Arabidopsis thaliana: one gene and its partners. The protein of the gene in region 2 interacts with the protein of the main gene of each other region in a pairwise test. Each region holds a gene or a part of one and is shown on either strand. Other genes may lie near its edges. The genes, in order: SUT2, ATG8D, AT1G19450 and PGLCT.

The links.
Region 1: the proteins of ATG8D (region 2) and SUT2 interact in a protein complementation assay, tested with the Arabidopsis thaliana proteins (one large-scale study listed by BioGRID).
Region 3: the proteins of ATG8D (region 2) and AT1G19450 interact in a protein complementation assay, tested with the Arabidopsis thaliana proteins (one large-scale study listed by BioGRID).
Region 4: the proteins of ATG8D (region 2) and PGLCT interact in a protein complementation assay, tested with the Arabidopsis thaliana proteins (one large-scale study listed by BioGRID).

What each region holds. Positions count from the first base shown.
Region 1 is NC_003071.7:826,808-835,769, forward strand, and holds SUT2 (sucrose transporter 2), read right to left. Parts: upstream 5,813-8,962; 5' UTR 5,490-5,812; coding exon 5,223-5,489; intron 4,715-5,222; coding exon 4,649-4,714; intron 4,502-4,648; coding exon 4,403-4,501; intron 4,302-4,402; coding exon 4,237-4,301; intron 4,144-4,236; coding exon 4,059-4,143; intron 3,967-4,058; coding exon 3,933-3,966; intron 3,824-3,932; coding exon 3,724-3,823; intron 3,619-3,723; coding exon 3,543-3,618; intron 3,260-3,542; coding exon 2,921-3,259; intron 2,793-2,920; coding exon 2,649-2,792; intron 2,552-2,648; coding exon 2,318-2,551; intron 2,227-2,317; coding exon 2,163-2,226; intron 2,067-2,162; coding exon 2,023-2,066; intron 1,907-2,022; coding exon 1,739-1,906; 3' UTR 1,472-1,738; downstream 1-1,471. Other genes in the region: ARPN (plantacyanin), read right to left, coding at 1-22, 724-913. UniProt on the Arabidopsis thaliana protein: Responsible for the transport of sucrose into the cell, with the concomitant uptake of protons (symport system). Can also transport maltose at a lesser rate. May also transport biotin.
Region 2 is NC_003071.7:2,081,499-2,088,146, reverse strand, and holds ATG8D (Ubiquitin-like superfamily protein), read left to right. Parts: upstream 1-3,264; 5' UTR 3,265-3,371; coding exon 3,372-3,408; intron 3,409-3,741; coding exon 3,742-3,848; intron 3,849-3,931; coding exon 3,932-3,956; intron 3,957-4,210; coding exon 4,211-4,266; intron 4,267-4,338; coding exon 4,339-4,391; intron 4,392-4,616; coding exon 4,617-4,735; intron 4,736-4,838; coding exon 4,839-4,936; 3' UTR 4,937-5,161; downstream 5,162-6,648. Other genes in the region: AT2G05632 (uncharacterized protein), read left to right, coding at 245-403; PGR5 (proton gradient regulation 5), read left to right, coding at 6,460-6,648. UniProt on the Arabidopsis thaliana protein: Ubiquitin-like modifier involved in autophagosomes formation. May mediate the delivery of the autophagosomes to the vacuole via the microtubule cytoskeleton.
Region 3 is NC_003070.9:6,729,274-6,737,356, reverse strand, and holds AT1G19450 (Major facilitator superfamily protein), read left to right. Parts: upstream 1-2,332; 5' UTR 2,333-2,723; coding exon 2,724-2,921; intron 2,922-3,043; coding exon 3,044-3,106; intron 3,107-3,217; coding exon 3,218-3,307; intron 3,308-3,422; coding exon 3,423-3,482; intron 3,483-3,570; coding exon 3,571-3,636; intron 3,637-3,725; coding exon 3,726-3,791; intron 3,792-3,886; coding exon 3,887-3,962; intron 3,963-4,070; coding exon 4,071-4,135; intron 4,136-4,220; coding exon 4,221-4,313; intron 4,314-4,389; coding exon 4,390-4,470; intron 4,471-4,552; coding exon 4,553-4,637; intron 4,638-4,735; coding exon 4,736-4,782; intron 4,783-4,847; coding exon 4,848-4,910; intron 4,911-5,004; coding exon 5,005-5,064; intron 5,065-5,154; coding exon 5,155-5,220; intron 5,221-5,316; coding exon 5,317-5,376; intron 5,377-5,458; coding exon 5,459-5,686; 3' UTR 5,687-5,946; downstream 5,947-8,083. Other genes in the region: KCS4 (3-ketoacyl-CoA synthase 4), read right to left, coding at 6,688-8,083.
Region 4 is NC_003076.8:5,270,826-5,278,705, forward strand, and holds PGLCT (plastidic GLC translocator), read left to right. Parts: upstream 1-1,650; 5' UTR 1,651-1,828; exon of another isoform or gene 1,829-2,069; 5' UTR 2,070-2,078; coding exon 2,079-2,334; intron 2,335-2,477; coding exon 2,478-2,592; intron 2,593-2,664; coding exon 2,665-2,732; intron 2,733-2,844; coding exon 2,845-2,977; intron 2,978-3,060; coding exon 3,061-3,160; intron 3,161-3,260; coding exon 3,261-3,373; intron 3,374-3,454; coding exon 3,455-3,548; intron 3,549-3,622; coding exon 3,623-3,776; intron 3,777-3,894; coding exon 3,895-4,041; intron 4,042-4,116; coding exon 4,117-4,190; intron 4,191-4,294; coding exon 4,295-4,383; intron 4,384-4,466; coding exon 4,467-4,581; intron 4,582-4,670; coding exon 4,671-4,853; 3' UTR 4,854-4,987; downstream 4,988-7,880. Other genes in the region: AT5G16140 (Peptidyl-tRNA hydrolase family protein), read right to left, coding at 46-96, 186-253, 337-421, 501-692; AT5G16160 (uncharacterized protein), read right to left, coding at 4,988-5,030, 5,114-5,267, 5,348-5,411, 5,611-5,751; AT5G16170 (Core-2/I-branching beta-1,6-N-acetylglucosaminyltransferase family protein), read left to right, coding at 7,101-7,676. UniProt on the Arabidopsis thaliana protein: May be involved in the efflux of glucose towards the cytosol.

The DNA of each region.
Region 1 (8,962 bases), 1.3 Mb from region 2:
ATCCTCGGATTATAGTTAAACACTGCACCAAAGTTTTGGAAAATATAAAATTTTAAGTTAATCATATAATTTTTTTTTTTTGGTCTAACGTTAAATTAGTTAATCATATAATTGATTACTCGACCACTCTTAATTGATTCCATATATTGACACTCAGATTATAAAGTAGCTGGAACTGTTTAGGAATTTCATAAATCTACATACTATAACGTTGGTTGAGATATTTCTTCATGCGAAAACAATTTTAATTCATCACTCAAGTATACCAAAATAAATTAAAAATTAGGTTAGTGGTACTATTTATGATATTTTAAAATATTTTTTGTTAAATTTAAACGCACATGAATTTTTGCTATACACATAAATCAGCGTTTGTGAATAATCGAAACTAGAAAAAAAATTTTGGAGAAGGAAGATGTATACATACATATCTATAATATAGTAAAATATATCACAGGCTCAATCATGTAAAAGATATACACTATTTAAACTGTGTATGCAAAACATTTATCAATCATATTTGTAACCTTTAAACTATAGGAAGTTTTTTATTTGTCGTGTGCTTTATACAAAAGCACATCTTGCCCATACTTAGAAGCAGCCATGATATGGATACATCCCTAGTGGATATGAAGATTAGAAAGCTTAACTGCTTGTGGTTTAAGTGTAACAAGATAGTATAATAATTACTGAAGCTTGATTAAAAGGATGTGAAGTATATACCAAGAACGTCGCCGGCTCTAAAGTGTTTGCCTTTAGGCCAACCCACAGCGTTAAAGGTCCAGATACCAGAGTCACCGACCGTGTACGTTGCAGCTTGAACGTAGTCAGCTTGAAGCAACAACACTGACACAGCCATGAGAGTCACTATGGCTCGAGCCGACCATGATGCACTGCCTCTTCCCTTGGCCATTGATCGATCTTAGGTGAAAGTTTAGAGAAAGAGAGAGAAACTATAGAGAGTAAATGAGGATGAATTGAAGAGTAAATGTACAAAGGGTTTTTAAAGAAGAAGAAAATAAGACATTCAATGTTTTTATTTTATTAAATTGGGTGTCTCAACAACCCATGATATATGTTCATTTATTATTTTTGGCCACATTGTCTATGTAGAAATTGATTATAGACTTAACTTCGGTTTCTTTTGTCTCATTATTGAAGATAAGAGTTTGGTTTTGACATTGTTACACTAAGTTGAATTTTGTTTCTTTGTTTTGAAAATGCTTATATCAACTAAATAAGGAACTTGTGGACAAAGACTATGTCATCAACAACCCACGATATATGAGCATTTATTATTTATGGACACATTGTTTCTATTGGAGATATAGTTTGGTTATGATTTTAGTACATAGTTTATAGGCGAAAATAGGTTTGAATTTGTGTTCTTATTGAAATGCTTTGTTATATTAGTATGGTAATGTTGGGAAAACGTACACATCATAGGTTAAAGAACCAACAGTATTGTGTTATTAGATTGGACTATTGAGTTTGGAATATGTTGCTTCAAGTTTCTATTTGTGAGGAAAGGAACACACAAATATAAAGTGATTCAAAATAACGAAGATATATTCTACGTGAGAAGAGAGGTACTGTAAATTTAGAGTCACATTGCTGTGTATAACATATAAGAAAACTAGATGTACAAAACCTACTTACATATACGCCGAGAGGAGAACGTGGTCAAAAAGAATCGGGTAGATCTAACTGTGAATTTTATGTCTGTGGTATAAAGATTTTAGCCGATGTGGAAACCGGTGGACTTGAAAGAACTCGATAGCGTGGGAAGCCTTTGCAATGCAATAACTCCAGCAGCGAAAGCAGCAACAGACGCCAAAACAAACGCCGGTAAGTTTCCTCCTCCAAACAATTGATCCCATGGACCCGCTCCAAGTGATACTATCATCTGTTTAGAGCCAAAACCATATTCAGACACTATTTACGGGTCAAGACTACACTCGAAGTGAGTGGCATTATACAAGAGAATGAAATTTATCAGTGTAATTAGATTTGAGAGATTGCCTGGGGAATAACGATTGCGAGATTCAACACTCCTATAGCCAAACCTGGAGTGAGGAAATGAAACCATTAGGGATTACTGAAATCTAAGATTTAAGTACAAAAACTATGAATATAGTGAAGATATGAATCTTTTCACAGACCTTGACCGCCACCGGAATCAGCAGTGACTTCTGCTGTGACAGAGAAAGGGACACTGTATGTGATCTGCATTAAAGAATGGTTTTATCACATATTTTAGAGAAATGTTGCAACACGAAAAGAATAAAGAGAATTACGGTTGAAAGAAAGCACATACAGCTAGGGGAAAACCAAGGAGTGCAAAAACGATTACGGCTGCGGTTCTTGTTGTTTCGTTTCCACGCATTATGTATTCAATTCCATTTTTGTCATCACTGAGAGACATCAAGCTGATTACAGCTGTTCCCGCCATGCAGGCAAATACAGTAAAATTGCTCAAAGCCCATACAACCCGAGCACCCATCCGCTGACACATTGGTTCAATGAGAAATGAGCTGATCCCAAGAACAACCTACGGAAACAGGGAAGAAGAATATTCAATAACGGGCGAGTAATTGAATTTTGAAGAGCAGTGCAGTTAAAAAACAGGTTATTATAACGATTCTTACAGAGTTTAGTAGCAAACCAAGTGCACCTTCACGTACACCTTGATCATAGAGTTCCATATGCAAACTATCTCCTGTTGGATCCCCATGGTAAACTTCTCTTCCCATCCAATCTGTATCGAACAGAAAGAAGGGGAACCAGGATAACTGCAAAGAACAAGACCACAATCAAAAATATAACAGAAGCAAATAATTTTAAAGATCATTAAAGAGTTTAAGAAAAGAAACAGTGTGAAATATGTAATAACTGATCATAATTTTTCTTTGGCACTCACCCATGTAAGAGCCATGACGATAAGAACTGAGTGCATAGCCGGTGGCAAATGCCTTAAACTAGTTAGCAAATTCACTAAAACAGATCCAGGGCCATCAACGTAGGTCTCATCTTGATGCTCATTCTCTGAATTGCCAAACTGTTCATCCGTATCACGTTCCACTCTCTCATACTTGATTCCATTGGCAGTACCATTATTTAATTTTGAATGCTCAAGGCCTTTGGACTGGAGATCATCCAACAAAGGTGCAGAATCTTGTATGCGGGTGGGCTTGTTGCTTGTAAAAGGAATCTCTTTAGCAAAATAGATTGTGACAAGAGTACATATAGTGAGAAAGACCTGAAAAAATGATTTAAACTCTTAAAACATATAGAACAATATATTCAGATTTTAGACTATGAAACAAGAACAAAAGCCACTGGGTGCAATAATATAATTTCACTTTCAAAATCACCTCAAAAATAATATAGACATACAAACAGAACGCATTGATTTGCGACATATATGAATCACAAGTCACAATGTACAAACGTGAGAGTGTTTCGTAAAGACCAGCCCATTCCATTGCAATTTAGAAAGCTTAGTAAGATGCATGTGTCAGAAAATTAAACATACTGCTTACCACTGCAAGAAGAAACGCTGCTTTGAGATTTCCACATGCAGCACAACATGCTCTACTAGTTAAAAAAGGGAACCATCTGCGCAGTAAAATTGCCTGATCATTTAACAGCTGGCGGAAAATGCAAAATTGCAAATGAGGAAAAAGAATACAAGATTTTGAGAATAAGGATCTCAAAGATTACTCTTGCCATTTTCCGCTAGCACCGGCAGAAAACCCAAGGATGTTCCCAATAGCCATCCACAAGCAGAACACAGCATTTGCAGTATTCCGCTGATCAGGACCTAGGGACAGCAAGAGACATCTCATTAGAAGCACAGCATATTCAATCTGATTCTAGAGTTTGAATAGAAATTCTGTTCTGTTAAGTGTATGGTTATATTCCATTATTACCTGATAGATCAGCTAGAAGAGCACGAGCAGGTCCCTGAAAATAAAAAAGCCGAAAACATCATTCCTGGATACAGAGGTAATGACTAGTACCATTCACTCAAGTACATTGCAGAGGCAGATCTGAACCTGTACTGTATTGTTTGCTAGATCCAACAACCAAAACCCAATGATAAAGACAACAGCTGCCCTGGTTCGTGTGCCTTTGAAAGTACTGCATTTCAAGATACACATCAAGTCGTCAGTTACTTTAATTTTGATACATTCCATAAAAAACATGCCATTGGCAGGGGAGCAGGAGAGTTACCTGCAATGTTCCTTTGAATCTCCTAACAGATACCCAATGTCTGCAGAAAATCCGATTATTATCACCTAAATTGCAAGCTTTTGTTTAGCTTATATAAAACACAATGTAGCCAGCTATCTCCTAAAAGAAAATCAAAACAGAAATCATATCTTCTATTGGCACTTACTGCTATTGAGATCATGAATGATCCAACTAGAATAAATGGTCGTCTTCTTCCATACTTTGAAGTACATTTATCACTCCAAATGCCAACAAAAGGCTGGACCTAAAACCCAACAAACAAATAAGTATGAACAAAATGGGGCAGAAAAATAGTTTCTGATCCAATATAAATCAAAACTTGAACTCTCGTGAGATCATTACGTGCAAGATAGTAAAACTGCTAAAATTCTTAAAGAAACTTTTAACCTACCACAAGGCCTGTAATTGGGCCGCACAGCCAAATAAACGAAGAAAAAGCATGCGATATTCCAAGGGTCTGCATCAACCAACCAAATGCAACACTGTTAGATAAAACTCAAAAGGGTTCTTCAGCAACAAGAAAATCAAAATACTTCCAGCAAACAGATATTTAACAATAGTTCTATCTACCACCATAACTACCCACCTGATACATATATGACCAGTACAATACTATTCTAAACACAGTCTAATCTCTGATTATACAATAGTTCCGAAAAAGGCTAAGGTCTTTTATATTTTTACAAATGCTTATGTAATCCAATGAACATAAACAATCTAGCTAAATTCCAATGTCATATACTCTTCGATAAGCCAATGCTATAGAGTTCCATACGAAAATATCTCATGGCTATGTTGGTGACAACAACTACCTAACCTAAGTATTAGAATTCATTGATTCACCTACAAAGTACTCGACTTTCTCGTACAAAGCTACACAAGAACAAAACCCTCGAATCTAAATTGCTATAGAGAAAGCCACAAGTGATAGAAATGGTAACAATGACAAGAGTAATAGTAAGTACCTGAATATAAGGAGTAAGAAGAGAAAGTTGCAATGCCCAACCAAATTGAACTCCAGCGGCAACTGTACAACTAAGAACCAACGTCACTAAACTACAATTCTTCGACACAGATTCACCATCAGCCGAATCAGAATGATTCGAAGGAGAAGCAGATTCAGAGAACGACGAAGAACCAGATTCGTTTTGACGATGCTTGGTGACCGTCTCAAGTTCAATTTCCTTCCTCAAATTCCTATACGGAACCGAGATCGACACCGAGTCACTCATCGTCCTCAACACACAGATCCCTAATTCGTATCAAAATCAATTTCTCATTCCGATTTAGATTTCTAGGGTTTTGATCTCGTCGATCTAGATTCGGAGACGATGATCGGAGAGTCAAATTCGGGCGGGTGAATATTTTGATGAAATCGATTTTTTTGAGGTGATTGAGAGAGAAGACGCGGAAGTGAAGAAGGAAGGAAGATTCGTTTTACAGGGAACCGTTGATTTGTAGATTAACGGATGAGATTAAAACCTAACTTAATAGTCAACGTTTTCGTCTCGGGCTTTGTGTAATCAGCACCGTTGGATTTGATCGGATCAAAACCGTTGCTTCAATTTAAAGGAAGAGCGGACGAAACTCACCGTCACCGACACCAAACAAAAAGTGTGTGCTTTTAAAAAAGTAAAACGGTGTCGTTTGATAAGAGTTGAGAGTGGGCCTGTAGTTTTTTGTAGCTCGGCCCATTTTTGTAAGAAATTCACAACTGTGGTACATTTAGCCCAAATATTAAGTCTATTAGAAGAAAGCTGTCTCATTTTTTGTTAGCATACACACCTAAAACCTATAAAACATGTGTCAAGATTATATGATTCATAGCTATGTCCCTTCTTCTATTTTCTGATGCCTTACACTGCGAACACTGTGATTAGTGATTACATTGGTTCAAGTTTGACTTCATGAAATATGTTTGGTTCAAGTTTGCTTCTAATGCTACCATTCAAATCCAAACTCTCACAATTGCATATTATTAAAGAAAAAAGGATAAGACGTCTCAAAGAAATTTTTTTATATAAAATCATATAGGGTATGTTCTTATTAACGTATATATGAACATGTGTTACTAATTTAAAAACAAAATCATTTTGTAAATTTGTGTTTTACAACAAATATTTTGTGGGAGATTTTAGGTGCTAGCAATAATAAGTAATGTTAATTAAGAGAGTTATAAACATTTTTTCACTATTTAATAGTGTTTTTTTCTTCTTACCAATGTCACTATTTACAAGTATATGTATTTTCTAATAACTAATGTAAACATGTTTGTAAAAAGATTATATAACATATATGTGTGTGATTGTGAAGGTGATAGAGTTCTTCTTACCAATGTCACTATTACAAGTATATGTATTTTCTAATAACTAATGTAAACATGTTTGTAAAAAGATGATATAACATATATGTGTGTTAACGTGATAGAGCCGGATTAAACGAATAAAAGGAAGAAAGTTAGAAATAAAAAGGAGGAAAAAGGAAAAAGACGTGTGCCTAACAAATGTATCATGTATTGGTACAAAAATGCAAAGATGATACATAATTATTAATATTATTCTTGCTTGTGGAAAATGAAAGCTAATAGGGCACACAATTGAATTAATACTTACGTCTCTCTTTCTCCATCTCTTCCCTTGTCCCTCTCTTCTCCTTTCCTTATCCACGTGTACATGACTCTTATGTCCCATCTTTTTTTTCTTTTTCTTATCATCAAAAGTTCAAAAACAAATCCTTTTGAGTTTAGTTGTTATGGTGTGCATGCATGTATGATGTATCCGAACCAAAGTATAGTCGAAAATCCAAATTTTGTATTCTTTAATGGTTAATGGTTAATTGAGAAGTTATAGCCGAGTCTCATACACTTGTTGTCCATCAAAACTGATACCATTCTCAATAGTATTTGAACCAGAAAACCACTATTACTCACTTTTGTAAAAGAACTATACATACGCGCCGTTAGACCAAATATCACTTATTACAAAACAAATTTTTTATCTATACCATGTTATAATTTTACATAAGAAAAAATAAAATAAAAAATCGGATTATTCCATTCAAAAAAGCATTTACATAAAATTCAAGCCTATATAGGCAATTTGGTAGCATTGACTCGGTTTCTCCACAAAAAAATGAACCTTATTACACCTTTGGTTTTATCTTATTTGAGATTGATGATTTGATCATGTGCCAATTTTTATTTTTATTTTGTTATAAAAAAGATCAAGGTTAATAAGTTGATTGAAAAACAGTAATAAGTTTTTTTAGTTTAATCATGTAATTACATTTGACAAAAAGCACGTGTTGAACGCGGCTATGACCCAAATAAAAGAGAAAAAAACATATGTACCATAACTTAACACGTCATCTCCTTAACGTCGAGCACGTCAAATGCTTACGCCTGAAAATAACTCCTTCGTCATTTCTCAAACGACAAATTCAAATATTAATAATATAAAAACTATATGTTTAAAAAAAAAAAAAGAGATGCGTTATTACAATAAATTTAATTTTCTAACTTAGTGATTGGTTGGCAATTTTGTCGTTCTCTGTCGATAGATCATAATTTATAATGTGATATTTACATATATACATAAGAATGGGGCTTACACTGTTTCACATAATAACTCCATTAAAGTTGATAAAGAAAAATTATAATGGTCATTAATCATTATTGAGAATGTAACCATCGATATTGAAAGATAGAAATGTGGAAAGAACGTGAAGAAATAAAAAAGAATCACGTCACGTGGAGACAGCTCTTTTACGAACTCTTATATCCACTCACTTCATTAAATCATTTAAAAAGTGGACTATTTTTTAAAAAAGCAACAATGGTTTGTGCATATATTTGTAATGGTTTTTTTTCTAAAATCTTTGTGTCATTTAATTGTCCCAACAAAACCAATACATCATCTTGCTTTTTTTTGGGTCCGATTTGTGCATATATAGAGTGTTCATATAGAACGGAGTATATGCGAAACCTTAACTCGACTAATTAAGTTCGGAAGCTACGTCCAATTATAACAAAGTTGAGTCAAAAATGCATCATCCCCTGAACATCGTCTCGTTGACCGGACATCGAGACTATGTGCTATCGCAAACAACATGTGATCAAATTCAAGAGACATATTAATAGATGACAATACGTTTTTAGGTTAATGGTAGATGAAACATTAGCTTTGTTTTTTGAAATATATGAAGAAAAAAAGAGTACTATAGTTGTTTATGGTTCTCGACATCATGCCTTTGTTTTTGTCGAACAATTGTTTCGTGAATGTCATGGGATAATACGGTTTCGTGTAAGTTATAACGAACGAGACATTAGGAAGATAATATTGACTAGCTACAGTAAATAAAGTTAGATTGGTTTAAAAGATGGATCTTGGATTAGTCGTAAAATCACTTTAGCATGCACCGTCCAATAATACTTCCCATGGGACATATAAGACTTACTCTCACACAACCCACACGTGCCTGTTACGTTCTTGATTGGATAAGAATGGCCTCGTTCGATGGTCAAAGCCTATAGTGGCACGATATGTAATCAAATTGTGTCGATCCTTTAATTTTTACTTTATAAGATCATATCAATAACAAAAATTAAACATTAGATTTGATCATGGCAAATTTCATTGGTGCATAAATTTCGCAAAGGGAAATTGACCTGATCAGTAGTTCTGCAGTTATACACAAATGCTATTAA
Region 2 (6,648 bases):
TATTTTTTTTTAAAATGTGTGTTTTAAACTAATACATCTAAATGAAAGAAGTGTTTCTTTTGCGGACAAGTTTTCCTGGCTTTTGCTATCCCAATTGAATTGGTTTTTTTTTGTCCAGTATCTCCGCCTTCTACAGTTGTGATGCGGGCCCTCTTTCTGGCATCACCGCCTCCTATAGGCGGCGTTGGCTAGCTTTGCTTTTTTAACTCGCCGTCCAGTGTATCAGGTAGTTCCAGTTTTGTTTATGCGTTTGTTTAATTGTCTCGATTATGAAGAGTTCCAATATGTGAGATTGTTAGATCAGGAGAGTTTTCTCAGATCTACTTCTACTGACTTGTTCTGTTTTACCGTCGGGATTTCTTGTTTTCGGCCCCTATGGTTTTTTGGCAAGGTTGTTTGTTGATTGCATTGTTGTATCTACCAGTTTTCTTCGTTTTAATTTTCAAGACAGTTATGCGCCTAAGTTGTTGCTGAAAGCTCCATCGGTTTAATCTCCACGCGGATTTCCTTAGAGTTCGGGAGGAAATTACTTTGAGAAGTTCTTTTCTTTGCAGATTTGATAATGAAGATTGGTGAGATTCTCTAATTAAAAACCGTTAAGACTTCTTTGCTTGAAGATCTGGCGATTTCTGATGATTTTGGAGTTTCCTAAGGATTCTTACCAAATCGACAATGACCAACAACGATATATGCTTCACATGTCCATGCGTCTTAACCTTGCTTCATAGTCTCACATGTGGCTTTGCGTTGGAATCTTTAAATCTTACTTCTACAAAGGGTTTAGTTTCCTAGATTGGACTTTCTTTAAGTTGGGCTTCTTCTTATAAGTTAAACTTGTTGGTTCTTTGGTTATGCAACATGGATGCTTGTTTAGATAATCTAATATTGTAAAATTTGATGTGTTTGTCGAGTCATGTAAGTGAAAGATTCCACTTTTGCAACAAAAGTTTTAAATAAAGTGCAACATTTATGAGAAAGAAAAAAAAAAGGTTTTATGCAAAAGGACTCTCCAAATGATTTTTTTTGCTAGACAAACATCCATCTCAAAAAAATACAGGTCAATATCACAGTCTCAAAAGTCACCTACAATATAGTCCTTCCGTATATCGATGACGTAACAGTCGATAACTCCGTTGGAAGACATAAGAGTTTTGTTAAACAAACCCTCCATATATTTTTTTATTTTTGCAAGACAAACCTCAATGTCAAATAAATACAATATTACAATCTCAAAGTCACCCGCGATATAGTCATTTTGTATAGCGATGACATGACAATCGATAATTCCGTTAAAAGCATAATGGATATCAAAATAGACCTTTGTTTTGCTTTTGTTGAAAACCACATGATTGTGTGAGTTTCGTTATTAGAAATAGAATTGAGGGAAATAATTAGAGTTCTTTCATATTATATCTTCTTCTTTATTCATATGAAGTTTGGAGATTCATTTTTCTTTTCCATTTCGATCTTCATCCATTTCGATGTATGTGTTTGTTGAATTGTGTTCCACATGATCAAAAATCTTGGTTTGATTTTAAGTGATTCATTTACAGTTTTGAAGATCCCAATGAAAAATAAATATGAATCTCCAAATTTTCAGATAAATAAAAATTCAATAATTTTGGTGTATATTGTTTTATGGGTAATATTAGTAGATAACCAAATAAAACATACAAATTAAGAAACTAGCAGAGAGAAAGTTTTTTGTTACAAAATAACCATGGATCCCACGTTGTCGGAAGAAAGGAAATAACAAATCTACCCTTCATTTGTTGTAAGATGAACAGTAAACGAAATACATCCGTGTAATTTTTCAAAATAGCATGTAACATTAAAATTTCACATGTTATATTTAGTTTAAAAACATGCTATTTCAAAAAACGTTATGAATTTTTAAGAAAAAATATTCTTATGAAATTCTTTTACGTGAACAGAATCTTAAAAAAAAAAAATTATATGTGATTTTAATAAAAACCATGTATTACTAAAAAATAGGAATATATTTTTAAAGAAATCACGTGTGATCTTAATAAAAAACGTGTATTACTACAAAATATCATGATAAAAAGAGATATTAAACTGAATAGAATGTTTTTTCCAAAAAATACCAGGTGCTTTTTAATAAATACTATGTAATAAGAGAAAATAACAAGATAAAAAGAGGATATTATGTTATCGCATGTATTTCGGAAAAATAACATGTTACAAAGGACATTTACGTAATTACACGTGTTTTCCAACATGTTTCCGACAAGATACTGTGATTCAAGGTTAGTTTGTACATTCTTTTCAAATCTATAGTCATTTATTATAAATACTCTTGTTTTATTGTATGTTTTCTAATGTAGTTATTGGTTGTCATGTCATCACTACACAAAAAGATAATATTATGAGTGATTTTTAAGATTGTAGTGTTGACATTCATTTATTTGATATGAAGATTTTTTTTTACAAAAAAAGTTTACATAGAAATTTTTTACACTAAATCTTTATGTTTTTAATAGAGTTATCGTCTATATCAAACCTACATTTATTTGACATAATAGTTTATCTTATAAAAAATGACTTCATCTGTTCTTTTTTATTTGATTGGTTAGGAAAAACACACATATTAAGTTAAACATATTAAAATTGTTAAATGTATTATTTTTTGTATTTTACAATTTTTTATAACTTTAAATCAATAATATTCAATTATTTTTATCAAAGTTTATAATTAATTAATAATAACTAATAAATATTTCATAAAAAATCTAAAAATTAATCTTTTAAAAACTTATTTTTTTCAAAAAACAGAGAGTGTTAAATAGATAGATTTTTTTACACAAAACCCAAAAAAAAAAACTAAGACCTTGAATGTTTTTTAGATTTTGTAAGAGTTTTTGATTTTTGTTTTTTAAAAACTTATTTTAATACCAATCAAGATTTTAAAATTTTGGTTTCCCTACAATTTAGTAAAACTATTTTATTGTAGTTTTCCATTCATATTTAAGTTTTTTAGTTTTTCTAAAGTTTAGAAAATCTAGTTTTTACTCAATCAACGTTATTTTTTCAAAAACCAAAAACCAATTTTTTAGGGGTTTTTAAAACAAAAATATAATAACAAAAATCTAAAATCTATAGACTAAAATCTAAACTCAAAAACTGAATCGAAAATATCCATTCAGGCCTAATACATCCAATATTTCAATACTTCTTAACTCTTAACTCTTAAGTTTTAAGTAATTAAATATATAAAGATCTGTTGCCAAGCGTACCCTTTTTATAAACATTCCAAATAACTATCTCCATTCTTTGGAGTTACCCAATTTCGACGTTGAACACAAACCCTTGCTTCTCTCTTCTCTGTTTCTCTCTCGCAGCGAAAAATCATGGCGATTAGCTCCTTCAAGCATGAACATCCTCTTGGTTCGTTTTCGATTTAAACCTAATCGATCAATCTTGTTGATCTTTGTGTATCTCTCTCTCATCGTAGGGATTTTTTTAGCGACTAGGTTTAAAAATTCTCAAAATCTGGTTACGTCTATTTCAATTGCTTCTGAGTTTGCATGAATTGATCCTTGATTCTGATTTCCAACGATTTCAATTTTGATTGCGTTAACAGTTATAAGAATCCGCAAAATTATATGTTGAATGATTTTATCGCCGATTCTGTATTGTTTCGTGAAGTAGTATGCATAATCTTTGATTGAAACAAGTTTTGTGTTTATTGATGCAAATACATTATGATCTTTATTCAAGTGGAGATGAATATTGATGTTGAAGTTACTAAGTTTCACTTGTCTCTCTTGTGTTCCGTGGTCGAGTCTCTGTTGTTCACGGGGCGTAGAATCGCTATTTCAGTCCCTGTACATAATCTTTGATTGAAACATGTTCTGATTTGGTGCTGCTTTTGCTGAGGAAGCAAAATACATTATAGTCTCTGTTCAAGTGGAATCCTAAGATATTATCACTGAGTATGTGTTGTTCACGAGGCTTAGAATCACTATTTTAGTCCCTGGAGCCTGGAGTAGTAGTGTACATAATCTTTGATTGAAACATGTTTTGATTTTGTTCTACTTTTGCTGAGGAAGCAAAGTACATTATAGTCTCTGTTCAAGTGGAATCCTAAGATATTATCGCTGAGTCTGTGTTGTTTTACGTGGGTTAGAGGATGTTGATGTGTTGAAAATTGATGGATCTGTGTTTTTTTTGCTCTTGAATGTTACAGAAAAGAGACAAGCTGAAGCAGCACGTATCAGGGAGAAGTATCCAGACAGAATACCAGTATGAATTTTGGCTATTTTCATTTAAGAAAATTGCATAGCTTTTGCCTTATTCTCTCTGAAATTGTTGCAGGTCATTGTCGAAAGAGCCGAGAAGAGTGATGTCCCGGATATTGATAGGAAAAAGTAAGTCCTTACTTCTCTTGAGGAGTTGGATATAATCTCTTTCTTCTCACTGAAAGTGGCTTCAAGCCCTTTTCTGAGAACCCTACACTCCCTCACATTTAGTAATGAATTGGTTAATTGGATAGAAATAATTTTTTTTTATTGAAAGATCTGGAGGAATTTCTGGTTTTCATGGTTTGTTGCTTAGGGATAATGAATTGGCTGACTTACTATTCAAAACTTTAGGTACTTGGTCCCAGCTGATTTGACTGTTGGCCAGTTTGTTTATGTTGTACGGAAGCGGATCAAGCTCAGTCCCGAGAAAGCCATCTTCATTTTTGTCAAGAACATTCTACCACCAACTGGTTAGTTTCAAACACGTTCCTTAATCATATACTTTTCCAGTTCAAGGAATCATATCTTTTTCTCAGTTGAGCTAATAGTAGTAGTGTTATCCTTTTATTGCAGCGGCAATAATGTCTGCAATTTATGAAGAGCACAAAGACGAAGACGGGTTTCTATACATGAGTTACAGTGGTGAGAACACGTTCGGGATCTTCTTCTAATGCGCTTGGAATATGTGGATGCATCAGATTATCAATGTACAGTCTGTCTATTTCTCTGCTTGTCTCTAGTTTTCATGACATTGGACGAAGCTTTTGAAACTTGCATGCTATGTTATTAACATGATAAGGTCTTCCGTTCATGGTGTTAATTTGGCTTTATGCTACACTTAATTTCAAACTTAGTCGCTATATATAGTTGAGGTCACTTGGTGTCCTCCTTGAATATTGGCCCGGCCTATTTCACTAGTCGTTGAACCGTTACGATTTCTATCTTCTCAAAGTTAGCTCGACCGTCAAATCTCTAAGCTCTTGCAATCTCTGCTTCTAAGGAACACAAAACAGAGATAACTTTAGCTATAAATATTTAGATTTCAAAAGCAACTTGATTTAGGTAAATTTGTGCACACTCTAGAATAGATTATCATCTGTTACAGATTATTACTGTACAATCCAGCAAAAACTAGGCCTGGGATTTCGGATTAACCCAATGACCGAACTGAACAAACCGTTTTTTTGGTTCTGATAACCGACTATGAAGGGAAGGCTAAACCGATCGGCGAAATTATAATTGAAGTTCGGTTCTCGGTTCGGCAGACATAACCGATCAGTTTTCTCGGTTAATAGATACTATAAATATAAAGATAAAAACATTAGATCTAATCTTTTTAGCTTCTTCTCCGTTTCCTTTTGATCCTCATCCATGGCTATTTAGTCAATTCTCTCTATCTGCATGTGGTTTTCACTATGGTAGCACGTCGGGGCATATTTCGTTACGGAGATATCGTCATCCCTCGCTATCACCGTCACCGTCACAGACGTAGATCTGCTGATTATGAAGAGGGTAGCGGCACCAAGATACCATCAACCCTAATTTTTAATAGGTTTGGATTTTTAGTTATTTTGGGTTTAAGTTTGTTTTTCGTTTTGGCCCAATTATTGGTTTGTAATTATAAAATTTTGTTTATCTTCGCCCATTCTATAATTTTTGTTTTGACCCATTATCTTGATTTTGGACTTATTCGGTATAAACTAACCGAACTAAAAAAAAAATCGGTTTAGTTCAGAGTTGATTTTGAATCCTATAACCAAACCGACCCGAACCAAATCTTTATTCGGTTTAATTTGACAAAATTTTAAAGAACCGAAAAAACCGATTAAACCAAACCGAACCGATTACCCGAATAAACCGAATGCCCAGGCCAAAAACAACTGAAAATAAAAAATAAAAAATGAGATAGGAGAATATTTAATCCGACGGTGGAGAAATGTTGATATAATAAAACGTGATACAGAGGATCATAAACCCGCAACATGAGAAACGTAATAAGTTAAGTCAAAAAAACGAAAAAGCCAGAATCATATTTGTGGCTCTGGTTTCTCCATCCAAACAAAAACAACACCCAAACCTTGTCCACACCAAAATGTTAAACTCAAAATCCAACCACACACACACAATTTCTCTTCCTCTCTACCATTAACATCGATCAGAAAGACCGAGAGAGAGAGGGAGAAGCTGATTGATTATGGCTGCTGCTTCGATTTCTGCAATAGGATGTAATCAAACTTTGATAGGAACTTCCTTCTATGGAGGATGGGGAAGTTCCATCTCCGGAGAAGATTACCAAACCATGCTCTCCAAGACAGTTGCGCCACCGCAACAAGCCAGAGTCTCAAGGAAAGCAATCAGAGCAGTTCCAATGATGAAGAATGTC
Region 3 (8,083 bases), on a different chromosome or scaffold from region 2:
TAACTCGTGCTATACAGCACGAACATTAATATTTTGTATAAATTAAATTGTATACTTTATTATGTTTGCTATGTTTGTCAAAATTATTTGTTATATTTGTCAAACTTTAGTAAAATATATTTAAATATAATTAAATTTATTAAAATTTAATAAATTTAAAAGTTTTTGTTGTTTGGAGACGCATTATCTACATACAAAATACCTGTTTCTATTTTTTGAGTATTTTTAGGGCCTGAAACTTTTTATCCAAACTGACCTAAACCCAAATGGACGCGATCCGAACCGAATATTTAGAATTATTCTATTAGGTAGTAAATCATATACCCATTAATCCCAAATCCGAACGGGTTATACCCGAACTCGAATGGGTTACTCATATGCCTAGCCCTATTCTCTGATTTAATTATCTAAAAAATCCCAATAAAACATATGTTTTGGTGACTACTTTTTATTCAAAAAAATTTACATCTTCTTCTGCCAAAATCATTTCATAAGACATCCCAAAACCCTTGGAATAATGATTCCATGAATGAAGAATCCTAATTTGAATATACCAAGAGGTTTTGAAAGGTTTTAAGTTTTTGATAGGTGTGTATGTGAGATGGTACATCCATCGTGATGGTAATCGGCTTATTTATAATTTTAACTTGCATTATACAGCAGGTAGTCTTATATTTTAGTTAAACTAAAAACTTTTATTGTAAAGTTGATTATAAATATATGATATTATTTTATTTGATTTTAAATGTATAGTAAACTGCGAGTTGTATATGTTTTGTTGATATTATTTATATTGTTTAGTGTTTAAAATTATATACTTGTATTTTGATTGTTAATTTTAAAGTTTCACATATAGTATATCATCTTGTATTAATATTGATTTAAACCCGTCAATTGTAGGATTTTTCAGCTTGTATTAAAAATTGAATCACATCATACACATTAAAAAATCTAATATGTTATTAATTATTGTAGTATATAAGATTATAAATTTTAAAATAATATGTATGAAATTGAATATAAATATTCAAACTATGACACAGTACTCAGTAAAAAAATTTCTTAAATCTACTTTTGACCCGTTATAGTATTTTTTCATGTATTGAACAGTTTATATTCGTTTTTAAAAATTCAAATTGTGGCATATGCGAAAAAATTCTAATTATTTTTTTATAACGATGATATTATTTTTTTGCAAAAATAGAATCATATAAAGATGAGAGGTGAACTATAATAATTAATAAAAAATTAATATGATAATTTAGATATCAAATCTAATTTGTTGATTTTAATTGGTTACTTTTTTGGAAATTAATAATGTATTTCGTTTTTGAGTTAAATTTAATTAATTAAATTAGTATTTGACTTTTAATTTTTAAAGAAATAAATTAATTTACTCTTTAAAATCTTATTTCTAATGACATACCTATGTAATTACTTACAAAAAAATAAAGTTATATTTAAAATGTATTTCCTAAATAATATAGTAGGATGTTATTGGTAAACATTGAAATAACATGTCGTATTCTCAAAGATTTTAAATATTGAAAATAAATAAATAATGTTGTATCTGAATAAATATTTATATTTATTGAAGTATTCGAAATTAATGACATCCATATATTTTTCATATACTAGAAAACAAAAACTATAATTATTCGAGTTTATCTAATAAAATAATGTCACTTGCATATTTGTGACCTATCGACATCAATATCAACGAGGTAGCGAAAATGCTAAAAAGTAGAGGAGGATTCGAGCATTATATTCATATTTAAGTGTTACTTTAATAATCTTATTATTTGTCCTAAATTGAAGTTTTAGCTAAATTTTCTCCCACAATATTGTTATTCTGATTTTGTTAAGAGTTAGGACAACATCTAAATATGAATTCTATAATGCATGCTAACTATTATTATAAGTGCTAAAATATAAAATGACATTGTCACTTTTTGTTGTCAAAAGGAATGTCTAGTGGCCTCGTATTCTAATATGGGAAGTTTTAATTATTATTCCTACCAAAAAATATCTTTGAAGTAGACAGTTTACCTAAACAAAAAGAAAAACATTTTCTTAAAAATACAATATAGTTTAGTCTCAGCCTGTACCACAATTTTATAGTATTGTTGCGTAATTAGTTACATTGTAAAAGCTCATTATAATACTAATGAGTATGTAGAAGTATGTAGAAGAAAATAAATGATTCAAAGCGACTACAAATGCTTGTATATGTGAGCGAACATGGGACAATGATTCAAAAAATTATCTTTGCGCAAAAAATAACTCGAAAACGACAATCAGACAAAAAAAAACAATAGTTAAATTTGATATAAAAGAATTTAAAATGAACGATATCTTATTTAATTACAAATTAAAATGTTTTTAAATTAAGTTTTTTTTTGTCGACAGAGAAGAAAAAAAACAGGTCCCTTTACGAATTCTATAAATCGATGTTAGGCGACGCGTTCTGAGGTGGAAAACTATGAAACAGTCTGCGTCTCTCCACGCAAAGGCTCAATTTTTACAAACCATGAAGAATTCTTAAGCAAAACAAGTCTAACATCTTTTTGAATTCACCCAAAACTCAAATCCTACCTCAAATTTCGTATTTTTCTTCTTCTGCATTTTCTAGTTTAGGATCGACATTTTTATCCTCCGAAAGATTCGTGCTTTTTTCTCTCTGTAGATTACGATTGTTTTGTAGATTTAAGAAAAACAAAAAGATGAGTTTTAGGGATGATAATACGGAAGAGGGAAGAAATGATCTTCGGCGACCGTTCTTACACACAGGAAGTTGGTATCGGATGGGTTCGAGACAATCTAGTATGTTGGAATCGTCTCAAGTTATTCGAGACAGCTCAATTTCTGTCTTAGCTTGTGTTTTGATTGTTGCTCTTGGTCCTATTCAATTCGGATTCACTGTAAGAACAACATAAACAAATATCTCAACTTTCTTATATTTTTTTTTATCAATGTGGATTTCTCTGCTTTTGCTCAAATTGACTAAGAAAGTGTTGATTTTGATTTATCTTTTTGTTTTCAGTGTGGTTATTCCTCACCAACTCAAGCTGCCATTACTAAGGATCTTGGTTTAACTGTATCAGAGGTATGAAGGTCCCATCTTTATTTAAGAACTGTTCTGTTTTTTTTTTTTTTTTTTGTAAAGACTCTTGTTCTGTAATTTTCTGACTTTTAGGTTTCTTGTTTGATGTTTTAGTACTCTGTGTTTGGGTCTCTATCCAATGTGGGTGCTATGGTTGGAGCAATTGCGAGTGGTCAGATTGCTGAATACGTTGGACGGAAAGGGGTATAATAGTTTTGTTTCTTGATTCTAAAACATGTTCTCATCTGTGACAATTTGTCATGTAACATCTTCTTTCTTGTTGTATCTTATTTACTGTGTTTTTCTTTCCTTTTGACAGTCTCTGATGATTGCTGCAATTCCCAATATTATTGGATGGCTTTCGATATCATTTGCAAAAGTGAGTGTTTTGGTGTTCTCAAAGTTTCTGATATTCTTGGCTTATCTCTATACCTACTAAGTTGTTGTTGTTCTTGGTTTTTGTTTAGGATACTTCTTTTCTTTACATGGGAAGATTGTTAGAAGGCTTCGGAGTTGGGATTATCTCCTATACGGTAATATTAGATTCAACTATTTCTTTGATTTCAGCAATGTTTGTTTGGAGTGATCAATATAATTACACACCTTTGAATTGCGATTTTAGGTTCCCGTATATATAGCTGAGATCGCTCCACAGACCATGAGAGGAGCCTTAGGTTCAGTTAACCAGGTTTGTCATGTTTAGTTAGCTTCACTATTTTTATGTTTCATTTTATGAGCTGATTCATATGTTAACACTAAACAATAAATGTTTTGTGTTTATAGCTTTCTGTAACAATTGGGATAATGCTGGCGTATTTACTCGGTCTCTTTGTTCCATGGAGAATTCTTGCAGTTTTGGGTAACTCACAAAACATTTTGACTTGACTTGGGAGAAACTATACCTGTTTTTATTTTATTTTGATCGATACAGTCTAATCACTTTCTTGTTTGTCTTCTTTATGTTTAGGAGTATTGCCATGTACATTGTTGATACCGGGTCTTTTTTTCATTCCTGAATCTCCTCGGTGGTTGGTATGCCTCTACAACCGTATTGCTTATATTGTTGAGTTTGTTGCATTATTGGTTATCCTAAATTGTTTTGGTGTTGTAATTGTAGGCAAAGATGGGTTTGACAGATGATTTCGAAACTTCATTGCAAGTTCTTCGTGGATTTGAGACTGATATTACCGTTGAGGTTAATGAAATCAAGGTAGTGACTAAACTGAAGAAATGCTTTGATGTGATTTCTTGTCTTATTTAAAATTTTCATTTTATGCACTCTGCAGAGATCTGTGGCATCATCTAGCAAACGTTCTGCAGTTCGGTTTGTAGACCTCAAGCGCAGGAGATACTATTTCCCACTGATGGTGCAATTTCTCTTACCTCTCTTGAACTAATTTTGTCAACACATGAGAGAAACTCACTCTTTTCCTGTAATCTGTGTTACAGGTTGGTATAGGGCTGCTTGCACTTCAACAACTTGGAGGAATCAATGGTGTCTTGTTCTATTCGAGTACAATTTTTGAATCTGCAGGTAGAGTCATATGTTTTTTTTGATTATTGGAATGGTCCTAAGATAGAATAAACAGATTTCTAACTATGCTTCTTTGTTTGCAATTATCATTCACTAAGGGGTGACATCAAGTAATGTGGCGACATTTGGAGTTGGCGTTGTTCAGGTATATCATTTCAATCTAGGAGACATTAGATTCGATTTTTCTAACCGTTGTTCATTCTATACCAGGTAGTGGCGACTGGGATAGCGACATGGTTGGTGGATAAAGCAGGTCGTCGGCTTCTACTCATGGTGAAGAATATTTGAGATTCATCTGTATATCTTACAAAGTCTGAAGAATTTATGTATGCATAACATAATATTAGCATTTTCTTCTGAAATGCAGATCTCTTCTATCGGAATGACGATAAGCCTCGTGATTGTAGCAGTTGCATTTTACCTTAAGGTAACATTTTAACTTTTGACATCTCTACTTGTACAATGTAAGAGTGTCACTCTAATTATGAGATATTGAGGTTTCTTAATCTTTTGTTAGGAATTTGTATCACCTGATTCCAACATGTACAACATTCTAAGCATGGTTTCCGTAGTTGGAGTTGTGGTAAGTCGTTTGTTTTATACATTCACACAACGAAAGATACTTTCTTATTTACATATTTCCCGGTATGTGTACTAAATCTGGCTGAGTTATTTACAGGCTATGGTTATTTCTTGCTCTCTAGGAATGGGACCAATTCCATGGCTGATTATGTCTGAGGTACTAAATATTAAAACATGGTGTTCCTTAGTGTTAAAATCACAACTGGAAATTTTAATACTGATTAATGTTGGTAAAACAGATTCTGCCAGTGAATATAAAGGGTTTAGCCGGAAGTATAGCAACTTTGTTAAACTGGTTCGTGTCATGGTTAGTGACAATGACTGCAAATATGCTGTTAGCATGGAGCAGTGGGGGAACTTTCACTCTCTACGCTTTGGTTTGTGGATTCACTGTGGTTTTTGTGAGTCTTTGGGTTCCTGAGACTAAAGGAAAAACGCTTGAAGAGATCCAAGCTTTGTTCAGATGATCAAAACAAGAAGAGGAAGAAGAAGACAAAATTTTCACTTTTTGCTTTCTCCATTACAGATCATTCTTTTGTCCCTTCCCTGTGTCTGTATTTCATGCTTTGTTCAATGTATTTCTTCTTGACATTGATTATAATTTGTTTATCTTGTACAAGCATATCATTATACCTTTAAATTTGATTTTTTGTTTTTGTGTGTAATTTTTCGGATTCTCAAGATTAATAGCACTATATTTGTGTATTCAACAATATCTTGAATTAAGTATAGAAAATCAGAAATGCAAATGTTAGTGTTTTGGATCCAAATGGGAAAGCTACCATGTGATAGAAACTGCTTTGGGAGTTTTGTTGTTTGGCGAACATGAAAGGACTATTTCCAATGCAAACGGCGGTCGATTTGAAAAAGAAAACAACAATATAATAACAATTTTAAAATCATTCTTTATATAACATTCTTGGCATGTCCCACTGTCCAATTTGACCATTCATTAAGAAATCAGAACCAAGTAAACAATACTAAGGTCATTTTCTTCCAAAAGTAATAAACTAGGAAAATATCTAGACAATTTACAGATAGTAACGAAATAATACGTTACAAGAACATGAAAATGGTTTTTGTAGTTACCGTTCCTTGTTTATATTCTCAAAGTAACGGATTCACATATTCACACCATTCAACACGAGTGAGTGTCAGTGAAAGGCAAAGTTGGACAAACGAAAGTTTTGGTTTCTGTAATTTAATTGGAGCAAACTTCAATAATAGTAAACAAACAACCTTTTGTTTAACAATGTCCCTAATTTTATTCTGTGATTTCGTCATTACACATCTAAGATCTGAAAACATGAGCTCAAGAACTGTAACTCAAATATCACAAACTCTCCAAAACACATAAACAACAAACACATTGACATTGTCAGAGATCAAATCTAAGGGTTTCTTCTCTAAGAAAAAAACAACCATGGATTAGTCTCGAAGTTACACAATAACAGTTCCTCAAACGAAGCTAATAACTTAAAGTTACCGGATACTTGTCAATACAATCTTCCCAAGGACTGTTGTTCGAAGGTTTCACATGCCTTAATGCTTCCCAAATCGCGCTATTACATTTAAATCCACTTCCGAACGCGATTTGCCAAACACGATTACCTCTTCGCATCCTTCCCTTCGCTTCAATGTAAGCCAATTCATACCAAATGGAGCTCGAAGATGTGTTACCAAATCGATGAAGAGTCATCCTCGAAGCCTCGACATGAACTGGTGAAAGCTGCAGATTCTTCTCTAACTCATCGATCACAGCTCTTCCACCAGCATGGATACAGAAATGCTCGAAAGCAAGTTTGAAATCCGGGATATACGGTTTCACTTTACCGTTAAAGAGCTTCTTCACAACTAGAGTCATAAAGAAGAGAATCTGCTCACTTATCGGTAGAACAAGAGGACCCAATGTAGTGATATTGGTTTTGAGAGTTTCCCCTGCAATCGCCATTAGATCTTTCGACAACGAAACCCCGGTTCTCCCTGTATCATCCTGCTCTTGATAAACACAACGGAAAGCTTTATCATCTGCTCCACGGTGAGTCCTGACTACATGTACAAGCCTGTACTTAGACCGTCTCTTGTCCCTCGACTTGTTCGATAGCAAAACCGCAGAGCCACCAACTCGAAACAAGCAGTTCGGTATCAACATCGATTTCTTGTTACCAAAATACCAATTCTGAGTAATGTTCTCAGTAGAAACAACAACCGCATAAGTGTTCCTATGTACCAACAACATGTCTTTAGCAAGATCCACAGCGATAACTCCCGCGCTGCAACCCATACCGCCTAGATTGTAGCTTCTAATGTTACCTCTAAGCTTATACTTGTTCACAATCATTGCAGATAACGAAGGAGTTGGATTAAAGAGACTACAATTCACAACAAGGATTCCAATATCCTTTGGTTTCACATTAGTGTTAGCGAAAAGGTTATCTAAAGCACCAAACATGACTTGTTCAGCTTCTTCTCTAGCAGCAGCCATTGAAATTCTCGGTGGAACATAATGCATAGCTTCAGGGACATAAGTGTCTTCCCCTAAACCAGAACGCTCAAGGATCTTGCGTTGAAACTCGAGAGCAGAGTCATCGAAATCTCCGGTGAGTCTAGAATGTTCCATGAACCGAGCGTAAGGAGCTTTGAGATGATCAGGTGGGAGATAACAAGAGAAATCAACCAAGTAAACGGGTCTAGGTCGGGTCATAACATAAACCGTTAACCCGAAGACTAGAATCGCTGAACAGATGATGATACTAACCAGATTGTATTGTAGATGGATCCAGAGCTGTTTGAGATCATCTGGGTTCATCTGAGAGGCTTCGACGGAGATAACAACGGCGAGAGGGAATAAACAGAGAGTCAAG
Region 4 (7,880 bases), on a different chromosome or scaffold from region 2:
GAACATAGTTCTGGATTCAAGGGATGCTTAAGTCAGTGACTTTACCATTAAAATGTGGCGCAATGGTACTCGATAGTGTGAAGCTAGAGATCCAACCTTTAAAACGACAACAGAACAGTTTCAGGTATGATGATTATTTGATCACGCAGCTGATCTTTGCAAAGTTATGAACAGAAAATACAAACCGATTCGCCGCTGAAGTTCATATAAGTCTGAGGTTTAGCCAACAAGATAGGTACATCTTCAATAGCACCTGTACTGATTCATACATAGAACCAAAAAGTCATCAGTTTTATTATTCTTCAAACCAAAGAACCAAAGCAAGAGAAGTAGAACCTATTCCGATTAGAGCTTTGGACTGTATAGTGTTCATCAACACCCCTTCTTTTCTAGCCAACACATCGATCATCTCGAAACCAACCTGAAAACAACACAAAGTTGTAGCATTGCCAAGATCAAATCCAGCAATTAAGTAAAAGAAAAAGATTGTGTATCATTACATTGTGTCTTGTTCCATGATACTTGTTTCCTGGATTGCCCAACCCAACGATAAGCCAAGGAGTGTACTCTACTTTGAATCTATCATCCTCACCACCAGAAGTAGATGAACAAACCCGAAACCTCTGTTTCCGGAAAACTGGCTTTTGCGTTTGAAAATGGTAAACACTTGGTGTATACGTTGGGCACAACATGGAACTGTTGTTGATTCAAAGACCTATTGAAATTGAAATGACTAGAAACTTTGAGATTCAATACTTGGAATATACATAAAGATAAAAGCTTTTCAGGATATAATGAAATTCGAAATCATATAACAACTGAGAATCAAAACTTAATGAAACCCATTAACAGAGATACAGCGCAGATAAAAAATAATTGAAGTGTAATCGAACAGAGGACTCAGCAAAATTTCTGGAGAATCAGAGATTAGCAATGAGCTACAAGGATTACACAAAAATGTATTTGTGGTTTATATTATGTTATAAATTTTCAGTAGAAGAAGGATAAGTGAGAAGGAAAATAGCTTACCTCTTCTTCTTCAGGATTTTTCGAAACAATTTCGGAATTTTCTTTTGCGAAGACGTTGGAACGAGATAGAAGTAGAACGATGAAATACTGAGACGAAGATGTTAGAAATTGGTCCCGTTTTGTATTAATGGGCTTACTAATATTAGCCCACAAAAATGATGGGTTAAATAATAGTGGCCCAAGTTACTATGATTTTTATACGTCACCGTTACTATGCTCAATGGCGGCACGTGAGTACTATTGAATAACACGTGCGGCTATATACGTCATCCAAAATCTAATCCAGAAAATCCAACGTTGCCAAATCGCCAATCCTGCGGCTCTTACGTAACTCTTTTACTTCTTTTTTTCTTACCCTTTTATCGACTAATTTATGTCGAATAATAATTGTAAATAATTTTCTCAATTTATAAACTCAAAAAAATTTCCTAATTAGTCCCGCCACTTAGTTCGATTTAGTTGATACTGGTTGATTTATTCAAATTTCCTAGCAAATATTACAAAATTACCAATCCAAAATTGAAAGTTGCATCACATGCATTAAATTTCATGATTTCTTTAAAATAAGAAATGAAAATACTCTATTTTCCGTATGGTTTTGGATAAATATGAATTATTACACAAAAATCCAAAACTAATAAGGAAACAAAATTGCATTATTTATTTTTTGGTGCGTTTTAATTTTTTTTTTTAAACGACAATAAGCTCCACAGTGAGTTCTTCTCAGCAATCACAATCTATCTGGTTTAAGCCCTCACTATCCTCTCTCTCAAATCGCGGAGTCTCCGAAGTTTCTCTGGTAATTTTCAAATCTGAAGTTTTGCTTTGGATATCACGATTTTTGTTAATCAGCCGCGATCGAGAAGAGCGTTTTTACTCTCTCGTTCGCATCAATGCAACATATTTCCCAATTTCGTGATGTTGCGTCTTCATCGTTCCTTACTTCTCTCTTTTTGAGTTCTGTTTGGTATAAATGCGATCCTTTTTTTTCCTTCCTTGCCTAATATTTCTCGTTTCCTTGCAATTACGGTTATAAAAAGTCAGACAAAATGCAGTCGTCAACGTATGCGGTTAAAGGAAACGCTGCGTTTGCGTTTCAGAGACGGACCTTCTCTTCTGACAGATCGACGACTTCTACCGGAATTCGCTTCGCTGGTTATAAGAGCTTAGCCACCACCGGGCCACTCTACTGTTCTGGTTCTGAAGCCATGGGAGCGACGCTTGCTCGTGCTGATAACGGGATCCAGAGCGTTATGAGTTTCTCTTCTGTCAAAGCTCGATCGGTCAGAGCTCAAGCCTCATCTGGTTCGTCTCTTCTAATGCTCTTCTATCTTTGTCTATCATTAGATTCTGTGATTGCTTACAAGTTCTTAAATACAATTTGAAGAATCTAATGTATAGTTTGGGATTTGGACTAATCATCTGATGGTTTGAGGAATGAAATGTAGATGGAGATGAAGAAGAAGCTATACCTCTGAGATCTGAAGGGAAAAGCTCTGGAACAGTTTTGCCTTTTGTTGGTGTTGCTTGTCTTGGTGCTATACTCTTTGGTTATCATCTCGGGTATGACTAAATACTACACTGTTTTTATCTTGGTGTGATCATGGATGATGATGTTCTATTGGACTGAATCAGGGTGGTTAATGGTGCTCTTGAATATCTTGCTAAGGATCTTGGGATCGCCGAAAATACTGTTTTGCAAGGCAAGTATATGATGATCCACTTCTTTACTCCTCCTGTCAACGGTAAAATGATTCGTGTTTTGATTAGTAGCCAAACTCATAATTGGTATTCTCTATGATTGGTGTTGAGCAGGATGGATTGTTAGTTCTCTGCTTGCTGGTGCTACGGTAGGTTCATTCACTGGAGGTGCATTAGCTGACAAATTTGGACGAACAAGAACTTTTCAATTGGATGCTATCCCGCTTGCCATTGGAGCTTTCTTATGGTAAATTTTCAAGCACTAAGCCATACCTATTGGTGAGACGTTAATTGATTTCTTAACGCATTGGTTCTTTTTTTATTGATTAGTGCAACAGCTCAGAGTGTGCAGACTATGATTGTGGGACGTCTGCTCGCTGGAATTGGAATTGGAATCTCATCAGCGATTGTACCACTTTACATATCTGAGGTTGTTTAAATACTGATTTTCATTATTTTTGCACTTTTAGCATAAGATGTTAGATTTGTTTATATGTTATGTCTCTGAAGCGTTTGATGATGGTTGTCAGATATCACCAACTGAAATCCGTGGAGCACTCGGATCTGTGAACCAGTTGTTCATCTGTATAGGAATACTTGCAGCCTTGATAGCTGGATTACCCCTTGCAGCAAACCCTCTATGGTATGTAACATCCCTTTTTTATTCATCATCTTTTATTTTGGGTTGCATACTGTGATAAGTTTTGATATCGTGGTCTTCTAGGTGGAGGACGATGTTTGGTGTTGCAGTTATCCCTTCCGTTCTATTGGCCATAGGAATGGCTTTTTCTCCAGAAAGCCCAAGGTGGCTCGTTCAGGTACTCTCAAGGAACAGATCTCAACACTTAAAATGAGATCAATTTTTGACAAGTCAAGGAAATCAATTTTGCAGCAAGGAAAAGTCTCTGAAGCTGAAAAGGCGATCAAAACTTTGTATGGTAAAGAAAGAGTGGTTGAACTAGTTCGCGACTTATCAGCCTCTGGCCAAGGTTCTTCTGAGCCGGAGGCAGGATGGTTTGATCTATTCAGCAGCCGCTACTGGAAAGGTATAGCAAGACTTGGTGGAGATACATTGTTTAGTTTGTAATAAAAGCTGACGGATTCCTTTCAAAGGTCATATCGGATTGATCAATTTACATAGTTTCTTGTCTGTTCTTGTTGTAGTTGTAAGCGTAGGTGCGGCTCTCTTCTTGTTTCAACAGTTAGCCGGGATAAACGCAGTTGTGTATTACTCCACATCGGTATTCCGTAGTGCGGGAATCCAATCAGATGTTGCAGCCAGTGCTCTCGTTGGAGCATCAAATGTCTTTGGTTCGTTTCCCCGTTATGTTCTCATTAAATTCCAAAAATAACCAAAAAAATAACACGATAAAAATCTGGTCGCAGGCACTGCTGTTGCTTCATCGTTGATGGATAAAATGGGAAGGAAAAGTCTTTTACTGACAAGCTTTGGTGGAATGGTACATGTTTTTATTAAAATTCTTAGCCATATTCGAAAATCTCAACCCTCATTAGTATTACCACAACAGGACTAACTTGGATTTTATGGTTTTGTATTGAAAAGGCTTTGTCAATGCTGTTACTCTCCTTGTCCTTCACATGGAAGGCTCTTGCTGCCTATTCTGGAACCCTTGCCGTTGTTGGAACTGTTCTGTAAGTCAATCTCCTCTTAACACTTCCTTATAGTCTCTCTGTATAGGACTTGACTGACTCTTATGCTCGGTTGTTTAAATCAGATATGTCCTGTCATTCTCACTTGGTGCTGGCCCGGTACCGGCTCTTCTTCTTCCAGAGATATTTGCATCCCGAATCAGAGCAAAAGCCGTCGCTCTTTCTCTCGGCATGCACTGGGTATATACATATATCTATAGGTTTTATGGGTTCAGAACAGAGTTTCTTCTCTCTGTTTCTAATGTTTTGTTTCTCTTTTGCCCTAACAGATATCAAACTTTGTGATCGGACTATACTTCTTAAGCGTTGTGACTAAATTCGGAATCAGCAGTGTCTACTTGGGTTTTGCTGGAGTCTGCGTCCTTGCGGTCCTCTACATTGCAGGAAACGTCGTCGAGACTAAAGGTCGATCACTGGAGGAAATAGAGCTTGCTCTTACATCTGGAGCTTGAAATTAAACAAAAGAAATCAGCAGAACAAAAACCAGTTTGTTTCATCATTTAGTTTGTGAGTCTTTCTCTAATCTGCTACTCTTAAATTGTACAATGGACGACGTTATCAATAACGAGAAATCTTTTCATGACCACTACATGTTGGCTTTCCTTTCCCACCTCTCCCTGGTATCTAGCCTGTTTCAAAACAAAAAAAGCATGGCATTAGCACGGTTTTCTCAATATGAAAAAGAATTCTAAAATTAGCGAAATAAGCTCACCCCCAAAACAGTTTTTGTGGCTTCTTCGGTACTGTGACTACTGTCTTGTTATGATTCTGTTCTTCTAAGGTAGAAGAAGAAGAAGAAGTTGGTTCTTTCAACTTTTTAGAGCTTTCGCCATCTTCGATCGCTTTACTCTGAGAATTCTTGCTCGCTGCATTTCAGTGTAGAGCTTTTAGTCTAGTGAATATGAACTGAGAATTCTCAAAAAAAGAGAGCTAAATATATATATACCTTTAGGTTTCTTCTTATGAATCTTTGCATTAGCTTTTATTTGCATACGTCTCTTGTGTAGCTCCTGTAATCTCAACACAACCAAAATGGCTTCAAATTCAAATTGCTATGTACATAGTAATTCGGTTGAAAGAAAAAAAAAAAAAACTGGATTGAACAGTTGATAGAAATTCGAATCAAGATGATTATACGAAGTCGTGCTTACAATCTCATTGGGATATCTGAAGATCAGAAACATTAAAAGTCGAGGCAAAGAATCTGACCTGTAATTTGGAAATTTGTTTCTGGGTGAGGTTGGATCGATTAAAATTGGGTTGAAGAGATAGTGTTGAAGCTAATAGAGCTTCTTTTCGATTCTCCTCTGCTTCTCTGTCAATTTCCTCGTTTGTCCTCGTCGTCGCCATGGCTTCTCCGTCGGCAACTTTGAGAATGTTAAGAAACCGACGTCGGAAACTTTCCTTTCCTTTTTGTTGGGGGATTAAATACCGAAATTACCCTAAAATATTATGCTAGTTTAACTAACTACCCGAATGTTTTGAACTAATACATAATTGACCTAACACTTTCTCTAATTATCAATTACACCCAATTGTTTTGGAATTTTTGGCGTTAGTGAGTTACTATATTAATGAGAAATCTTAATTAATGTATCATAGATCGTGCCGAAAATAAATGGTCTATGTCTAACAGCTTTGAGTACAAGTAAAACTCTCAAGCTTGGTCTTTAATTACTTTTGTGCCTTGACTAAGCAATGTAATTAGACCTTACGACCTTTAAAAATCCACTAATCTAGCATGCCGATCACGACCGCAACGCTTACTCTCTGTATTAATGATTTTTGTAATCAAAACTTCATATTTGACTATTTAGCAACAAAAAGAAGGTTCTGGCAATGTGTCGTCAAGTGCACCTAAAGTTAGGCATGAAATATTGTTCCTTCCATGGTTTGTGGGTCAGCACCGAACATTTCGCACTCTCTTCCATCTCAGTACTGCAACATTTTGAATAATTAACTCGTCCAGGTTATTTATGAAGAATTCCTTAACTTTGGAGTAATCAGGTTAGTTTTTTTATTTGATATTATTTTGGTTTGAGTTATTTAATTTGCTATTGTATTGGTTCGGTTTAAGTTAGACTTTCAAAAAGAAAAATTAGACAAAATTGAACCCACGCACACAGATAAACAATTCAATAGATCATTCAAGTATAGGTTTGAAATACAGAACTGCTCGGTTATATCCACCTCTCACCAAGGTGTTCAATGTGATTCGGTTAAATTAAGATTAGATTCAAATATTCATATTTTCAACAGCAACAGAAAAAAAAACATATTTTGACAACATGCCACCCTTAGCTTATTTTGACAACATATCATCACCCTTACTTGAAATTGCAATCTCTTACTACACTCCGTCCTATGGGCAAGATAAAATTTCGTCAAATCGTGTAAATGTTAAGATCTAAAACCTAAGTTTTGTATCTAACACATGATCGTTATATACATATATTGACCTGAGAACAACTAAAAGTCAACAGGTCACGTCTTCGTTCCAAAGTCTACTCTTTTAATATACATTTATATAACTTGCAAGAGAGCTCCTTTTGACGTTGTCCAATACACTCCAAAAACCTTGTTTTTTCTTATACAACTTGTAATAACACATTTATAACAACTGGTTGCAAAATCCTTAACGATCACAACAACCTCTCTCTCTCTTTTTCTCTCTCTCCCTCTCCCTCTCTATCTCTACAATGAGCATTAGTGATCATAAGAGCAAGAAAGAAGAAGAACAGTACCCAATGATCACAAAGCCCTTGAGATTGATTCTCTTACAAAAGGGAAGTTATGTCTTAAGCTCACTCTTTTTTGTATTCGGTTTCTCGGTTGGTCTCTTCCTTTGTCTGCAACTAAAAGCCGTACACATGTCTACGACGACGACACAACGACAACCCTTATGGTCTACCTTATTATTCAACCACACGGTCCACACCACAGAGATGGATATCAAACAAGAGTTGCAACTACAAGTACTTCAACACAACATGAGTGATCAAGAACTCTTCACCAAGGCCTCGTCATTATCATCACCAACATCATCCTTATCGTCATCATCATGGTTAGGGAGGAGACATAATAATGATGGGAAGATGGCTGTGAAGGTGGCTTTCATGTTCATGACAGGTGGAAGACTCCCATTGGCTGGCTTGTGGGAAAAGTTCTTTGAAGGACATGAAGGGTTTTATTCCATATATGTTCATACTAATCCATCTTTTCAAGATTCTTTCCCCGAAACTTCCGTCTTCTATTCAAGAAGAATCCCAAGTCAGGTGATAATAACAGCTTTAGTTTGTTAATTATATCTTTCTCTTTTCTTAAATAAACCTATTTAGGTACCCCTATATATGATCAGTATACTACTAATCAGAAATTATATCACTAGTTTTCCAAAAACACATCACTATACTTTTCCAAACATATCTCTTCGATTTGACAGGTTGGTTTTTTCACATGGCACGTGCATTGATCTTGAT